Schizosaccharomyces pombe: one gene and its partners. The gene in region 2 interacts genetically with the main gene of each other region. Each region holds a gene or a part of one and is shown on either strand. Other genes may lie near its edges.

Evidence for each region. A genetic interaction does not mean that the proteins touch.
Region 1: of orb6 (region 2) and cdc7, a mutation in one rescues a mutant of the other (synthetic rescue), as found in Schizosaccharomyces pombe (one study listed by BioGRID).
Region 3: of orb6 (region 2) and skb1, changing one enhances a phenotype caused by changing the other (phenotypic enhancement), as found in Schizosaccharomyces pombe (one study listed by BioGRID).

Annotation. Positions count from the first base shown.
Region 1 is NC_003423.3:3,221,735-3,228,666, reverse strand, and holds cdc7 (serine/threonine protein kinase SIN pathway Cdc7), read left to right. Parts: upstream 1-2,161; 5' UTR 2,162-2,236; coding exon 2,237-2,263; exon of another isoform or gene 2,264-2,315; coding exon 2,316-2,450; exon of another isoform or gene 2,451-2,491; coding exon 2,492-2,521; exon of another isoform or gene 2,522-2,570; coding exon 2,571-2,635; exon of another isoform or gene 2,636-2,682; coding exon 2,683-2,936; intron 2,937-2,986; coding exon 2,987-3,448; intron 3,449-3,488; coding exon 3,489-3,730; intron 3,731-3,798; coding exon 3,799-3,862; intron 3,863-3,899; coding exon 3,900-4,252; intron 4,253-4,293; coding exon 4,294-4,428; intron 4,429-4,464; coding exon 4,465-5,886; 3' UTR 5,887-6,316; downstream 6,317-6,932. Other genes in the region: serine/threonine protein kinase Ppk24, read left to right, coding at 380-1,313, 1,396-1,847; Ras1-Scd pathway protein Ral2, read left to right, coding at 6,486-6,932. UniProt on the Schizosaccharomyces pombe protein: Protein kinase essential for cell division. Plays a key role in initiation of septum formation and cytokinesis.
Region 2 is NC_003424.3:1,006,114-1,010,946, forward strand, and holds orb6 (serine/threonine protein kinase Orb6), read left to right. Parts: upstream 1-2,149; 5' UTR 2,150-2,325; coding exon 2,326-2,468; intron 2,469-2,735; coding exon 2,736-2,910; intron 2,911-2,955; coding exon 2,956-4,047; 3' UTR 4,048-4,205; downstream 4,206-4,833. Other genes in the region: gamma-glutamyl phosphate reductase Pro1, read left to right, coding at 281-1,636; dnf1 (P-type ATPase), read right to left, coding at 4,527-4,833. UniProt on the Schizosaccharomyces pombe protein: Interacts with pak1/shk1 and coordinates cell morphogenesis with the cell cycle. It is essential for maintenance of cell polarity and is involved in mitotic control.
Region 3 is NC_003423.3:2,275,476-2,280,240, forward strand, and holds skb1 (protein arginine N-methyltransferase Skb1), read left to right. Parts: upstream 1-1,779; 5' UTR 1,780-1,799; coding exon 1,800-1,989; exon of another isoform or gene 1,990-2,038; coding exon 2,039-3,537; exon of another isoform or gene 3,538-3,583; coding exon 3,584-3,772; 3' UTR 3,773-4,149; downstream 4,150-4,765. Other genes in the region: SPOM_SPBC16H5.12C (uncharacterized protein), read left to right, coding at 1-1,232; ATP-dependent RNA helicase Prp43, read left to right, coding at 4,288-4,765. UniProt on the Schizosaccharomyces pombe protein: S-adenosyl-L-methionine-dependent protein-arginine N-methyltransferase that can catalyze both the mono- and symmetric (type II) dimethylation of the guanidino nitrogens of arginine residues in target proteins.

The sequences.
Region 1 (6,932 bases), on a different chromosome or scaffold from region 2:
GAACGTCTCGTTTGGTATTTTTAAATAAAATATTAATTTACAAATTCATTTAACTGTTGATTACTGAGTAATGAGTCGAATCAATCCAATGCTCATCATTACGTCTTTCAGGTTGAGTCGTAGATGCGTAAACGGTCGTTCATCGATTTAGGCATTCGTGAGCATATGATTTTGGAAATTTCGTTTCTTTCAAAGACGTTATGATTACAACTATGCAATTTTGAGGTTGCTAACACGTAACTCTTTATCTAAACAGAATAAATGATGAGGTTGTTCTGAAAACACTCTTTTTTTAGTAAGAAAATAAAGAAGAAGTACATAAAAAATCAATCAATTTGAAGTCGTAACTAGGCTTCTTAGCTTCAGCGGCTTGTCACTAATGACTAATTATCCTTTTTTTCGCCAGGGGACAATTTTCGTGGACAATTCAGCAATTCAAAGGAATTCAGAGAATAAGAATAGTCTTTCGATTGAAAATATTTTTGGGAGATTTCCTAAAGAGTTCTTCCAATTTTTTTCAATAAATGTTTCTAAATCAACAACCAAGAAGTCTTCCGTCGTTATAAAGCCAAGTACAATTACTGCACCATGGTTAGAAAATGAATACTTAGACAGTAATACTAGCTTACTTTCCGTTCATTCAATTCAACCTTCGTTTATTGGAATGTCTGACTTCGCAATTGGATTAGATCCTTCACTGAAGCGTATATTACCCGAAATAAGATTTCGCTTAGACTTTCAGCATCTAAAATCAATAGCTAAAGGGGCCACCTCTACAATCAAGGTTGTAACTCACAGAGATAAAATCACCGACGCAAAGATATACTATGCTGCCAAAGTATATCGGAAAACGAAAACATCGCATAAAAAAAGATTGAATACAATGGTTTATTTTTTAAGGGAATGGTCAATCCAACCAAAATTGGACCATCCTAATATTCTGAAAGTTATCTGCCCTTGTGTGACTTTGACAAGCGTATTTAATAAATCCGCTGGGTTTTGTTTGGTTCAAGAGTACTGTCCTCAAGGCGATTTATTTAAGCAAATTGAAGAAAAAGTTTTGACCTTAGAAGACAAATGTTGTTATCTAAAGCAAATTCTTCAAGCAGTAGCTTACTTGCAATCTCAACGTATTGCGCACCGAGATTTAAAGCCGGAAAACATCTTAATCGGAAGGGATGGATTGTTAAAGCTCACCGATTTTGGTACCAGCGAAATTGTGGGTAATCCTGGTGATAACGAATCCATTCGTTTCGTATCGGGTGCTGTTGGAAGTTTGGCATATCTAGCACCAGAAGCATTTCATGAAAATGGTAAGTCTTATGTGTATAAATTGTGTAGCAAGACGAGCTCTATCCTATTTCAAAAACGACGTACTAATAGTTCAATTGATAGAATATTGTGGTCTTTTAGCAGATAGGTGGTCATGTGGTATTTTGCTTAAAGTTCTGTTTACTGGATACTTTCCATTTAAAACTTCCGTGAAAACTGATCTTTACTACTCAAAGTATATGTCAATCCTTACAGATACTTGTGGTATTTCTTCAACTGATGAATCCAGTTTCCAAACCGAAGTCATTAAACAAATACCTACATTGCAGCCCCTCAGATATATACCTGAAGGTGCTAAGAAGATTATACTAAGTTTACTGAATCCTGATTCCCAGAATCGGCCGTCGTTGGATAGTATTTTAGGTACTGCATGGGTACGGAAACTGGATTGTTGCAGTAACTTCTCTACCGATCATGAAAATAAGAGTTTACAGGAAGTTGATTTTGATGCTTCTAAACCCATTACAAGGAAAAGTTTGATTCCTCGGATTCATAACCATCAGACACTTGTTTAACGTAGTTTAAATCACTGTCTTTTCTACTTTACTTTCCAAGCTAAAATGAACTCATTCTTCCTATGTACATGGTGTTTCCACTGACATTACTTAACCAACGGATTAGTTCCATCCTTGCCAATATTTTTTATATGTCTGTATAATACGCTTTTTCTTTTATACGAGAATCTTTGTTTATTAATGATTTTATAAATAGCTTAATTATTACTATTTACTTCTTTTGAGTTTATAACATGCAAGTTCAGGTACCGTACTAAATGTGTATGTACACTATAAAGTCCTTACTTCTTCAAACGCAGCAAATGCTACATCGTAAACAAAACCAAATTGTCTTTTCATTCAAAATTACAAATAAATTCAATTTTTAATTTGTAACTTATTCAATAGTCATGCACAATATCCAAGCATCTTCCATCGTATGCTAGTATTTAATGTTAATAGCCATTGGATTTTCAATAACATATTCAGACTCTTGGGGATTGCTTGGGCAAGGGTGCCTTCGGTGCAGTATACCGTGGTCTAAATATAAAGAATGGAGAAACGGTGGCTGTAAAAAAAGTTAAACTATCCAAAATGCTAAAATCTGATCTTTCCGTCATTAAGGTATGAAGGGATCTCAACTATTTTTCTCTAACAATTTTTAGATGGAGATTGATTTGCTTAAAAATTTGGACGTATGTTACTCATTCGTTTATAATGGTCGCCAAATACTAAACGTGGTAGCATCCAAATATTGTTAAATATAGGGGATCTTATCAGACGAACGATTCTCTATGCATTATTCTGGAGTACGTGATTTTCTTTAAAAAATTGTTTTCAAGTTAACGATATATAGATATTGCGAAAACGGATCGTTGCGCTCAATTTGTAAAAACTTTGGAAAGATTCCAGAAAACCTAGTGGCCTTATATACGTTTCAAGTATTACAAGGGCTACTTTATCTACATAATCAGGGTGTTATCCATCGTGATATTAAGGGTGCCAATATACTTACTACTAAAGATGGCACTATCAAGTTAGCAGATTTCGGGGTTGCGACGAAAATTAATGCTTTAGAGGATCATAGTGTTGTTGGAAGCCCCTATTGGAGTAAGCCTTTTCTAAGCGTATAGTTATAACATTACTAACAATTTATATAGTGGCTCCCGAGGTTATAGAGCTTGTAGGCGCCACAACAGCCTCAGATATTTGGAGTGTTGGCTGCACAGTTATTGAACTGTTAGATGGAAATCCTCCCTATTATGATTTAGATCCTACGTCCGCTCTTTTTCGGATGGTGAAAGATGAACATCCTCCCTTGCCTTCAAATATTTCTTCGGCTGCTAAAAGTTTTTTAATGCAATGTTTCCAAAAGGACCCAAATTTACGAATTAAGACCAGAAAACTTCTTAAACATCCTTGGGTGATAATGAACCAAACCTCCTCTAAATTTTCTGACGCTATAGACGAGGTTCAAAAATATAATGAAAGAGTGAAAGAAAGCACTTTGACAGCTATTATCGAGCCTACTTCCAACAGAATCAATCCGACTCTTCATTCTGGCAGGCAGTCTTCTTATCACATGCCTGAGTCTCCAAAAACACCAATTGCCGAGTCCCCAGGTAGCTTTATGATACTTTTTAACTACTCTAACATTTTTAGATCATGATAACTGGGACAATGAATTTCAAGGAACCCTTAAAATCAGTGACGATGTTTTAAAGAAATCTGAGCATTTTATGGATTTTTGCAGTAACTTTAAAGGAAAAAATAATTCCAGCTCCATAACATCATCCCCTTCGAAGTCTCGCCATGCTTTTAATTCAGATCAAATCTCTGAATCAAACAACTTTAATGCATCACCGTTGAGTACTCCTCTCAAAGCCCAATTTGATCCCTCTAAGGTAAATAATGCAGCTCGATTTTCTAGAGCTTTTAATGATTTTAAATAAATAATTAACCTTTTTTTTAGCCCGCTCTCAACCGGTCAATAGATCATCAAAAAACTCCGCAACATAAAAGATACTTGTCAACTGGTAAGTATCTGATACTAACATATAACTAATTATCTAGAGTTTAAAGAGAATATACCAGACGGAATTGAAAAATTTGTCGAGACACCCAGAGATAGTGAATTTACTGATATTTTCCCTACATCCTCAATCAAAGTTCAAGGATTGAGAAAGGAGACTGGACTGGGGACTTTGGTTTTAAACAAATGTTATGGCTCGTGGAATAATGAAGAAAATGAGGATGGGGAAGAATCGGATATCTTTGACTCTATTGAAACAAACTTAGAAAACTTGGATATTGAAAACAACATTGCTTTAGATAAGAGAACGCATCTAGCTTCCTTACTTTCCAGTCTGTTAGGCTCACTACGTGACAAGAATATCGGATCGAAGGATACAACTGTTTCGCAAATAGTAAGTGCATATTTTTATATTGATAATTTAACTGACAATAGGCTTCTATACTTAGTGAAGATCTTTCTCTAAAACGAGAGATAATACAAGCGCATGGTATCCTTCCACTTTTAGAGACATTGCGCGAAATAAAAACGCCTGATGTTCAATTGCTGTTATTAAAGCTCATTAACACTGTAAGGATATTTAATGCGTGATTTTACTAACGTTAGGTTGCATTCGATGATCACACAACTTTACAAAAAGTTTGCTTTGCTGGAGGTTTACCGCTTATGTTGTCATTCTCTAATCGTGAACACTCTTTTGAGTTTAGATATGAAAGTGCTATCTTTATTCAACAGATGTATAGAACTTCTGCTTTGACATTACAAATGTTTTTGAGCTCAAATGGTCTGAATTCGCTTTTATTATTTATTAAAGAGGACTATGGAACGAACCGTGACTTTGTTTTTGTTGGCGTAGAAGGAATATGGAAATTACTGAGACAACAGGATTACATTCCAAAAAATGATATCTGTACGATGGTTGTAAATGATTCACTAGAGCCCTTGACCAAAGCCATGCTGAAAGCTTTGGCTACTGACGATGATTCTTCAAGAATGTCATTAACACGTATATGTGAAATTTTATTGGCTTTATCTCAGGCTGATAATTATGTTAAGGAATCACTTCTTTGCGAAAGTGCTCTTCGAAGGATATTGCGTATTCTGCTTTATCTGCCGCATTCTGATATGGCGATTACCTTACAGTTTTTCAAGCAACTTTCAATGGTTCCTTCATCTTTGTCGCTTCTTAGGAAAGTTCATATAATACCTCTTTTGACACATATTCTCGGTGACAGCAAAATTGAGAAAGGACGAAAAGAAATTAGAAGCGAAGCTTTGGCCGCTTTATTCAATGTGTGTAAGCTAGATAAGAAATCGCAAGAAGAGGCTGTTATTTCTGGTGCTATTCCATTATTGCAAGAGGTGATTATTAAAGACAGACTGTTTAAGGAGTTTGCGCTGCCGATATTATTAGCTTTGCCACAGGCTGGTCCAGTGTCGAGAATTTATCTTTGGCAAAATAAATGCTTAGATTTTTTTCTCTCGTTATTATCAGATCTTAATTGGCAATCTGCGGTATTTGATACGATCGCATCTTGGTTGCAGTTTGAACTCCGTGAAGTACAACGTGTTTTGGCAGAGAAGAGAAACGTACAATTAGTGTTAAAGGTGTTCTGTATTTCTCAATCAGCTTCCTCAAACAGAATGCTAGATACTTTGGGCAGGGTTTGTCAAATTTCCCCAAGATTGGCAGCCTCTTATGGCCAGCCTATAATATTCCAGAAATTTAAAGAAAAGTTAACTCATAAGGGGACCAAGCCGATTGTGGTCCTAAACATATTTCAAATTATGAAATCAATGTGTGAAGCTAGTAGCCAAAGTGTTGCTTATATTGCGCATTGTGGTTTACCAGATGTGGTTGCAAATTTGAACCAAACAAGTGATTCTGTGCTTGTTAAAGAACTAGCAAAAGACCTGCTGAAATACCTGAAGGTACCACAGGGTCCCATCAATGAGCACAAATCCCCCATTTCGAAACCGCATATGCCTCCACCTAGATGGCAACCAAAGCAGCCATTAACGCAGTGAACACTATTAAACGCATTTCCCAGTGCACGACTATATTACTTGTTTATGATATTTCTGTATTTATGGCTTAATGATTAATAAATAAGGTTGGGATTATGGAATCAATATTTTTTAAACGAAAGTTTTGCTAATTTTAATATTAATATATTATCATTCCATGTGTAAGTACGTTACCAGTTGTGTTTATACCTGAAATACAATCTAATTGAGTACCGCAATGAAGACTATTTATTTACCGAATCTATATTGATGAATCTTAGAAACGTTAAGAGAAAGGTTTATAATATGCTTATCACAGTGTATATTTATATTTATTCATTCAAGTGCTTCGAATTTTAAAATCTAGGTGTGCATAAAAGTTAACTTCACTATATCAGTTAACGCTACGATAGTGCAATACAGGAAGAAATATGCACTAAAACAAAAGGACAACAATGATTTTTATGCTTCTCATTTTTGGCTATTAATTTGCTGCTTTGTTTATTGCATAAATCTTTTTTGACTGTTTGCATTTCAGTAATTATTAATTTTTATGTGGAAGGAAAAATCACTTTTTTGATATTTCTTATTAACGTCGAGTTGCTAAACAGTTTATATCTATGTCAGAAGTAAAAAGGAATATATCTTTGAGAAATTCAACAAACATTTTTACTTCTACATTTAGTTTATCTTCAAATAATGTCCCAAAACCGCTGATTGGGGAGTCAGTTATAAAATATGGAGACGAGGCTTTTGTATATGGAGGACGCGATGCATTAAATGCGCAGCTTGTTAATGATATGTATGTAGTTGATCTTAACACTTGTTCCTGGAAGCAAGTTGAATATCAAGGAAATCAAAAGCCGATACCACGGTATTTCCATTCAGGGGATTTATGGAATAACAAATTAATATTCTTTGGTGGTATGGGATTTAATGATGATACAAAATGTCTTTATGTTCTTAACGACATCGACATATATGATATTGAGACTAAGCAATGGTCTCATATACCTGGCATGATAACAGAGAATCAGACAAATGACGATGCTAAAGAAGTCAATGGA
Region 2 (4,833 bases):
GTTGCAAAATATTTTTAGTTAACTGCAGAAGTACTCTCACTTTCCATGATTTCGTATCTTTCAGAAATCTTAGTTATGCTTAATGTAAAGTAACAATGCTTGATTTTGTTACTTGAAGGGTGTTAAATAAATCACGAACTTGCATTATTCATACATTAGAAAAAACAACCAAAATACTACAAAAAGTAGTCTTTTTGAGCTAGCCATTCTAAGAATAAGAATTCGCTTGATTTAAATCTCCCAATTGCCTCTACTCAAAGTTGTATAAGTATTGTTTAGCATGTCTCTTGAAGAGAATGTAAAGGAAGCGAAAAACGCTTTTAACATTTTACAGACATTATCAGTGGAAGACCGTGATGATGCATTGGATAAAATAGTTGAAGAACTGCGCATAAAAAAGTCAGAGGTTCTAGCTGCAAATGCTGAAGATATGAAAGCAGCTAAGCTCTTGGCTGAATCAGGAAAACTAAGTTCATCGATGGTTAAAAGATTGGATCTGTCTTCATCTGATAAATACGATTCCATGGTACAGGGTGTTTTAGATGTTAAAAGTTTGCCTGATCCCCTTGGTCGTGTTACTTATGCTCGTAGTCTTGACGATGGTTTGGACCTTTATAAAGTCTCTTGCCCTGTAGGTTTATTGCTAGTCATTTTTGAAGCTAGACCTGAAGTAATCATTAATATTACTTCCCTGGCTATCAAATCTGGTAATGCTGTTGTACTTAAAGGAGGCACGGAATCAGCAAAGTCTTTCGCTGCACTTTCTAATGTTGTTCGCTCTGCCTTGGGCAAAAGTAAGGTTCCACAGGCTGCTGTGCAGCTTGTTCAGAGTCGCGAGGAGGTATCACAATTATTAAAATTGGATGAGTACATAGATTTGGTTATTCCCCGCGGCAGCACTAATCTTGTACGCCATATAAAAGATAACACAAAAATTCCTGTTTTAGGTCATGCTGCAGGACTATGCTCCATGTACGTCCATGAGGATGCTGATATGGAATTGGCTAGTAAACTTGTTCTGGATGGAAAAACTGATTATCCAGCAGCATGTAATGCAATTGAAACTTTGTTAATTAACGAAGCTGTTTTATCTTCTCATCTTCCTAAAATTGCTGAAACTTTAACTGAAGCAAAAGTTACATTAAAATGTGATCCCGCTTCTCTTAAGGTTTTAAAGGATATGCCAAAAGTTAGTGCTCTAGTTGAACCATCTGTCGATCAAGATTACAACACTGAATTCTCTGATTTGATTCTTGCTATTAAGACTGTACCTTCCTTACAGTCCGCAATGCAGCATATAAATACACATGGTTCTAAACACACGGATTGCATTATCACTTCTAGTGAAGCAGCTGCTAACAGATTCATGGCTGGAATTGATGCTTCTGGTGTGTATTGGAATGCTTCAACCAGATTTGCCGATGGTTTTCGTTATGGTTACGGTACCGAAGTTGGCATCAGCACCAACAAAATTCATGCTCGAGGACCAATGGGTCTTGATGGGTTAACTATTTACAAGTACCAACTTAGAGGAAATGGTCAAGTTGCAAGTAGTTATGGAGTTGGACCTGGCAAACGCGCATTTAAACATACCCCTATTAATATAGACAATATTTCTCAGGTTTCGAAAAAATAAACACAAAAAAGATTTGAAAATTATGTGAAATTGTCAACGTTTTGGCTAGCTGCATTTTGGATACAAATCGGTTAGGCTTTTTTTGTTTACTTGTTTGTCTATAATATTTAAATGGGAGTTTCAATAATGTGAAGTTATTAAATGAAGAGTAAACACCAAATTAAATAGATAACTATTCCTGTAGAGTTCGATCCACCACCTTTAGTTTTTATTACACAAATATTTTTATGGTGAAGAACGAATTGATGTCTCCGTCCGTCTTTTTTGACTATTCATTTCAATTCAGATTCTAAAATCTTCGTAAGCTAAGATTCTTGGCTTCAGTTAGTAGCGTCGTAATATTGAACAGGGAGGGTTAGGAAATGCGCGGAGCTTATCGCAAGCGATCGTTGAAGTTATATAACAAACTGCAGAAGTACTTGCTTTTCCAGTATCGCAGTTTAACATATTTTTATCGGATTATACCTTAGCTGGCAGTAGTCCTATAATTAAAAAAGCATAATAGGACTTGTCATTTACCATATCCGATTTATCACTGTCTCATTTCTGTTTTGCATGTCTTGTTAATTCATGTTTTAAGCGATTGAATTTCAATCTTTTAACAATTTCTTTTTGTTAATTAATTCGTTGACCTTGTAGTTGATTCTAATTAGTGTAAAAATTCCATTTATTGCAACATTTCTTTCAATATGGATAAGAATGATTACTTACACTTTGAACGGAACCCTTCATTATTTCCGAAATCAACTTTAGACAAAGTCCAAAAGACAAAGAAATATATTGAACATTATTACAAGGTGGCAGTTGATCATGCTGTAGAGCGCAACCAAAGGTACGAGTAGCATTACTATTCAGGGTTCTAGCATTGTTTCACATTCCTCAATTAGTATTCCCATCTTATACGTTGATCGGATAAGTATCAAAGACGATGCTTTTATTAATTCTTTCTCCGTTCTCAACTTCGCGTGTTGCAGTAAATGCATAATCTCGAATGTTTATAAAATCTTAGACAGCTTACTCATCTTGTTTCGAAAATGTTAATTAATAATGCTAGCTTCCGTTTAATTTACTTTTAGGTATAAATACTAATTCTCTTTAGACGTATCAATTTGGAGCAACGATTAGCAACCGAAAGGGGTTCTGAGGAGAGAAAGAATAGGCAGTTAAGAGCATCTGGTGAAAAAGAGTCTCAATTTCTTCGATTTCGTCGTACACGGCTTTCTTTAGAAGATTTTTCTACCATCAAAGTTATTGGGAAAGGTGCATTTGGCGAGGTACGTTTGCATAATTGTTTATGTTTTTGGTATCTAATTAAATAGGTTCGGTTGGTTCAGAAACTCGATACGGGTAAAATCTATGCCATGAAATCTTTGCTTAAAACTGAAATGTTCAAACGTGACCAGCTGGCTCATGTCAAAGCAGAACGCGACTTATTAGTTGAATCTGACTCCCCATGGGTGGTGTCATTGTATTATGCTTTTCAAGATTCACTGTATCTTTACTTGATTATGGAGTTTTTACCAGGCGGTGATTTGATGACCATGCTAATAAATTATGATACTTTTTCAGAAGACGTTACTCGCTTCTACATGGCTGAGTGCGTTTTGGCTATAGCTGATGTTCATCGAATGGGTTATATTCATCGGGATATAAAACCGGATAACATACTGATTGACCGGGATGGCCATATAAAACTTTCTGATTTCGGACTTTCCACTGGTTTTTACAAGCAAGATCAGAGTGCCTCTTACATGAAACCTCGCACAGGAAATACTGTCAAACGTGGTCAAATGGTAGATGCTATCTGGCTTACAATGTCTTCCAAGGACAAAATGGCTACTTGGAAAAAGAACCGTAGGGTGATGGCCTATAGCACTGTGGGTACTCCTGATTATATCGCTCCAGAAATTTTCTTGCAACAAGGGTATGGTCAAGATTGTGATTGGTGGAGTTTAGGCGCTATCATGTTCGAGTGCTTAATTGGATGGCCTCCCTTTTGCAGTGAAAACTCTCATGAAACTTATCGAAAAATCATCAATTGGCGTGAGACTCTGACTTTCCCAAATGATATACATTTAAGCATAGAAGCTCGTGATTTGATGGACCGACTTATGACAGATTCAGAACACAGATTAGGTCGTGGCGGTGCTATTGAAATAATGCAACATCCTTTCTTTACTGGAATCGATTGGGATCATATACGAGAAACTGCAGCTCCATTTATTCCGAATTTGAAATCTATTACCGATACACATTATTTCCCTGTTGATGAGCTTGAACAAGTTCCTGAACAACCTGTCACACAACAACCTGCTTCTGTTGACCCTCAGACGTTGGAACAAACCAATCTGGCATTCCTTGGGTACACTTACAAAAAATTCAATTATTTAACGATGAAAGGAGCATTGTAAGACTTCTGCAAGAAACTCCATAGCTACTTTGTTCATTGTCCTTTGAGCATCTAACTATTGTTATCGAATTTTTTTTATCGTTAATTCATGTTTACCTTCTTTTACATTATTTTAGCATAACTAATAATATTACCAATTACTTTTTTTTAATGTTGTCCCTACTGATAAAATCTTACATGCACTTCTGTAAATATTAAATTCGTTGCATAAGAATTCCAAATTAATGCATAGATTTTATTAGGGAAAAGATAAAAAAGAGTGAGTAAAAAACATGTATTAATAAGTACAACAGGATGTTAACGCCAAGAAAACCAACCAAAATAGTAAACAATAATTATGAAATGCGGATCATGACCCATAACTAATAGACAATTTCTAATTGAACAGTGGGAACCCCAGAATTTTAACATTTTACCAGTAAACTGACTATCGTCTAAAGAAAGTTTCATATACTAGAATTGGATTAATGAATTAAATGCCTAATCTCGGCTTTTTAAATATTGTTCAATTTCATCGACAGATGGTGCATTGGCTTGTAAAAACTCACCGCTCTCTTGCTCAAACCGAGAGCGGACAAAGGCATCGTTTTCCATTTCCACAAATATGTCGGTGTCCGTAGGACGTAAAGTCCTTCGTAACATTTGGGCAACAATATCAATTGTTAAAGCACAAACCATTACAAAAAGCATAGTAAGCCACCATGAAGGATTTTTGCCAAAATGATGGAGAAACTGTGATCTAGCAAGATATAAATTCTTGTCCGGATAATGCTCGCTTATAAAGATA
Region 3 (4,765 bases), on a different chromosome or scaffold from region 2:
AGGTTGAGAAGATGGTTACCCCTGAACAACATCATCTAATAAACAATGTTGTTCGCCTAGTCTCTCGCATGCCCGATGCAACTAACTCATATGCTATGAATAACATGCTTCCCGGCACTGCTTTTAAAAACCTATGGAACTTCAATTTATTAGATGCTTCCTTTGGATGGACTGTTTTTGTCGTCGAAAATGGGCATGTTCAAGTGGAAAGCAAATCTCATGGCTTTAATTTAGGCTATCGTCGCATGGCTTCACGTCGTAACGAAAATTATGCATCTCACATTCCACGCTCAACTTCGGAAAATACCGGTACCTATTATTACGCTAACAATAGGTTGGTGGAATCTCAAGCACAGTTTACCAAGAACAGAGAAGCTACGGCTACACCAACCGAAGAAGAACAGATTGAAGGGTACGATCAGGAACATACTGATGAGCTAGGAATGTCAAGAGCGAATACTACAGAAGAGTCGGCTGAGACTCATGAAGTAATCGAAGAGAAGTCGGGACCACCTGCTGCCGAGGAAGAACCCATTTCTGGCGTAGCAGAGAAGCCTAGTCCTAATGAAGAAGAACAACCAGCAATTGGAGGGAAAGAGGAAGTTGACGTTGAAGAGGTGACTAAGGGTACTGGAAATCTCGAGCTAGGTGAGACGACTACAGAGGTTACCATACTTGAACAAGAGAATGCTGCAAATGTTACAAGATCTCAAGCACAAGAAGGTAGAAGAACTGATATGCAGAAGGGCAACGATCGTGAATTCCGTCAATATAGTGGTGAGCAGCGTTATGAACGTTGTGGATTTCATATTACCCCTTGCAATTCTGAAGAGGAAGCCCGTTCTTACTTTAAGGACGGGACAGACAGCCTGATTACGAATATTCAAATTCGTACTTCACTCAATCGTTACAAAAGTCCCCAAGCTCCTCAAAACGTAAACCCCACTAACTATGCATATGTATTTGTTGAAAACCAGAATGCTGTTTCAAAGGCCCTTGGAAGCATCAAAGTTCCAGAAGGTGTGCGGGTGAATATCATGCGTGATGATTCGTACTATCGTCAAAATAGAGGATGGTATCGAAATAACCGGATGGAGGGACATGGAACTGGAATGCGTACCAATCGTGGACGTGGACGAGGCGGCCGAATGAACAGAATGCAGCATCCTCGTCCATTACAAAGCGGTGGAAGTGTCAATAAACAAAGCGCTGAACCTACTACCCATGGTTAATGATGAATATTTTTTGCACTGTTTTCAATGCTGTTTTAGAACTGATTTTTATACCATCTTTTCACCTTTTTACTGATGTTAATGCAAAAGTTTACCTCATGAATGATGAAGTTTTCATGAAATTTATCTGACGCACTCATTTACCTCAATAACTGCGAAGCCAAAATAACTGATATGACTCTTTTAAGATATCTTTTTCGAATTCGGTTGTCATTGACAAAAGGGTGCTTACTTTACTTTCTTTCATATCGACTTTGTTTAGAAATAATAAAGTGATTTTTGACAAGATTGATTCGCAGAAAACTATATAGTAAAAATAATTAATTACTTTATGCTAGAATAGCAGTTATTAGCCTTTTCTTCTTAGAAAAGATGTAAGTTTTAATAGATCAAATTCATTAATTAAATAACCAAGTTGAAATTTAAAACACTCACAAACAATAAGCTAGCTACTCAACTAAACAATTTTTTTTTGTTTTTGCAACACAAGGTCCCAACCCTTACCGTATGTTATTGCGGGATGGCCGTATTCCACAGTACAGTATTTACCCATTGCCAGTTCCGCCGATGAATTCTAAAACGCCCACTCTAGGAATAGTTTGTTCAGAGGGGACCATTTCCTTGTCTTTGGAAGAGGGTTTTGAGTTTGTTGGAGTTCCGTTAAGTGGTGAAGGTTTAAAGCTACGAGTTGAAGCTCTAGCTCCGTCAGAGCGTTTGCAGGAATTCCTCGACGATGAAGTAGCTTATCACCCTGAGGGTATGTTTCAAATTTGAAAGAAAATTTATATTAACCAATTTTACTATAGAAAATGTGCACAAGGTGGTCGGTTTATCCTCAGCTTGGCTGGAGTTAGATTCTGAAGACACACTAATCGCTGATCGATCAGAAGAAGTGTTATTAAAGGAAGCATCATATGCTTCTTATTGTGGGTTATCTTCAATCATCCTAAATGGTCCAACTTCACCAATGAACGTTATGCGTTATGCGAGAGCTGTATCTTCTGCTTTAAACTCAACAATGAATCTAAAATTCTTGGTACAATTGGCAATCGAAAGTGGTCATGAAGACTATTTTGAGACATGGAAAATGTGGGACACAATTCGCTCAGCATGTGGTTATCACCCTAGATTGAAGGTGGCCTTAGAGCTACCTCCCGCTTGTTCACCCCCAATCGAGCTAGTAAATCGATGGTACGCGGAACCGATAGAGATGATTACTATGTCATGTATGGCTTTCGTTCCTAATCCCAACGGCTATCCAGTACTTGGTCGTAAGTTGAGGGCTATTTATGCTTTATATCTACGTCTCAATCCTCGAATTTTACTTTGGGATAATGACGCACCCGAGAAAATAGGTGATTCCCCCGACTACAGCATATATATGAAGCACCTCTTTGATTCACAGCCTCCAGCTCCACTTGTAGAAGATCTCGCGGATTCTTATAAAGACTATCTGCAAGTTCCTCTTCAACCATTGAGCTACAATTTGGAAAACATTACTTATGAAATATTTGAGCGAGATCCCGTTAAGTACGCCCAGTATGAGCAAGCAATTTTTTCTGCGTTGATGGATAGAGACGAATCTTCTGTCACGCGAATTGCCGTTGTGGGTGCGGGAAGAGGTCCATTAGTCGACTGTGCTTTACGTGCGGCAATTTCTTCATCTAGAACGGTTGATATGATCGCCCTTGAGAAAAATCCTAACGCTTTTTCCATGCTATTGATGAGAAACCGCCAGGATTGGGCTGGCAAAGTTACTCTAGTATTTGGAGATATGAGAACATGGAATCCTGATTATAAAATTGACATCCTTGTTAGTGAACTTTTGGGTAGTATGGGAGACAATGAACTTAGTCCGGAGTGTCTAGATGGTGTACAACATGTGCTTGATGAAGAAACTGGGATATGCATTCCATCTTCTTACATCTCCTATGTTACTCCTATTATGTCTCCTAAGCTATGGTCTGAAGCTCGTAATATGAATGACCCAAATGCTTTTGAAAGACAGTACGTGGTTTTAATGAACTCATTTGACTTTTTGGCTGCAGATGATGAGTTCCGTTTTCAGTCCCTTTGGTCCTTCCATCACCCAAACAAAGATAGTGAGGTTTATACTAAAAACTTGCATAACAAACGTTTTGCTAGTGTTCGTTTTCAGGCCTCTAGTCCTGGAATCCTTCACGGTTTTGCAGGATATTTTGAAGCTACATTATATAAGGATATTTCTCTTTCAATTATGCCAGCAACTATGGAAGCGAAGTCTCCTGACATGTTTTCATGGTTCCCTATTTATATGCCCATTAAGGTAAGTTACTATATTTTACGTTGCACTGTATACTAATATTTCCTAGAAACCCATGTACGTCCCAGAAAACAGCCAATTGGAATTTCACATGTGGCGATTGACGGACGGTATGCGGGTTTGGTTTGAGTGGTGTGCCAATGCCTATCTGGTGTTGCGGAATGGAAGTCAAATCAAGTTGTCTTCTACGGAGGTCCACAACATTTCCGGAAAAGCGTTCTCGTGTAATATGTATTAAAAATTAATAGTCCTTCTTTTACATTATTGTTTATGGTTTAAAACGGGTCTTCAAACCATTTTTTTGGAGTTTTGATTATAAAAATTTTTTGGATTTAGTTAAATCTGAATTTAACAAAAGTCGATTAGTTTTAGGATAGCTGTTACAATCAAGATTTTGCTGAGAAAGAAGGAGTAATGCTCCTATACTTATTGTCTTAAACGATTTGCCAGAATTTTAACTATTGTTCTTAAACATTCCTTTTTACACAATTAATTAACAGGCAAATTCATTCAACTGAAATACCCTGTCATTTGCTTACTATACTAGTTAATTAATTTTCATTAATGTATTATATTAGTCCGAACTTGAAAATTAACAACGCATTGCGTTATGCCACTCAATTTTATATAACGAATGTTAAGATAGATGGTTTGTTGGAAAATTCTTTAACTGCTTGTAGTACGGAGTATGCACTGTGTTCTTCGCCATTTACAGAATTGTGGGAAGGGTTTATATAAGGGCGATTTTCGACTATGGAACCAGCTCAGAAGAAACTAAGGCAAGAGTCAAAGAACCCGTATTTGGCACACTTAAACAATGGTGATGATTCTGAGGAAGTTGTTTCTTCGAAAGGGTTGACGCGACGTGCTACGACTGTTGCACAAGCAGCTAAGGCTGAAGAAGGACCAAACAATTTTTTTAATGATAAACCTTTTAGTCAAAATTATTTTAAGATTTTGGAAACTCGAAGAGAGCTTCCTGTATACCAGCAAAGAGAAGAATTTCTCAAAATTTATCACGAGAATCAAATTATTGTTTTCGTTGGTGAAACTGGTTCTGGTAAAACAACACAAATTCCTCAGTTTGTTCTTTATGATGAATTGCCTCATTTAACAAATACACAAATTGCATGTACTCAACCACGTCGTGTTGCAGCTATGTCCGTTGCAAAACGTGTCGCTGACGAAATGGACGTTGACTTGGGCGAGGAAGTTGGTTACAACATTCGTT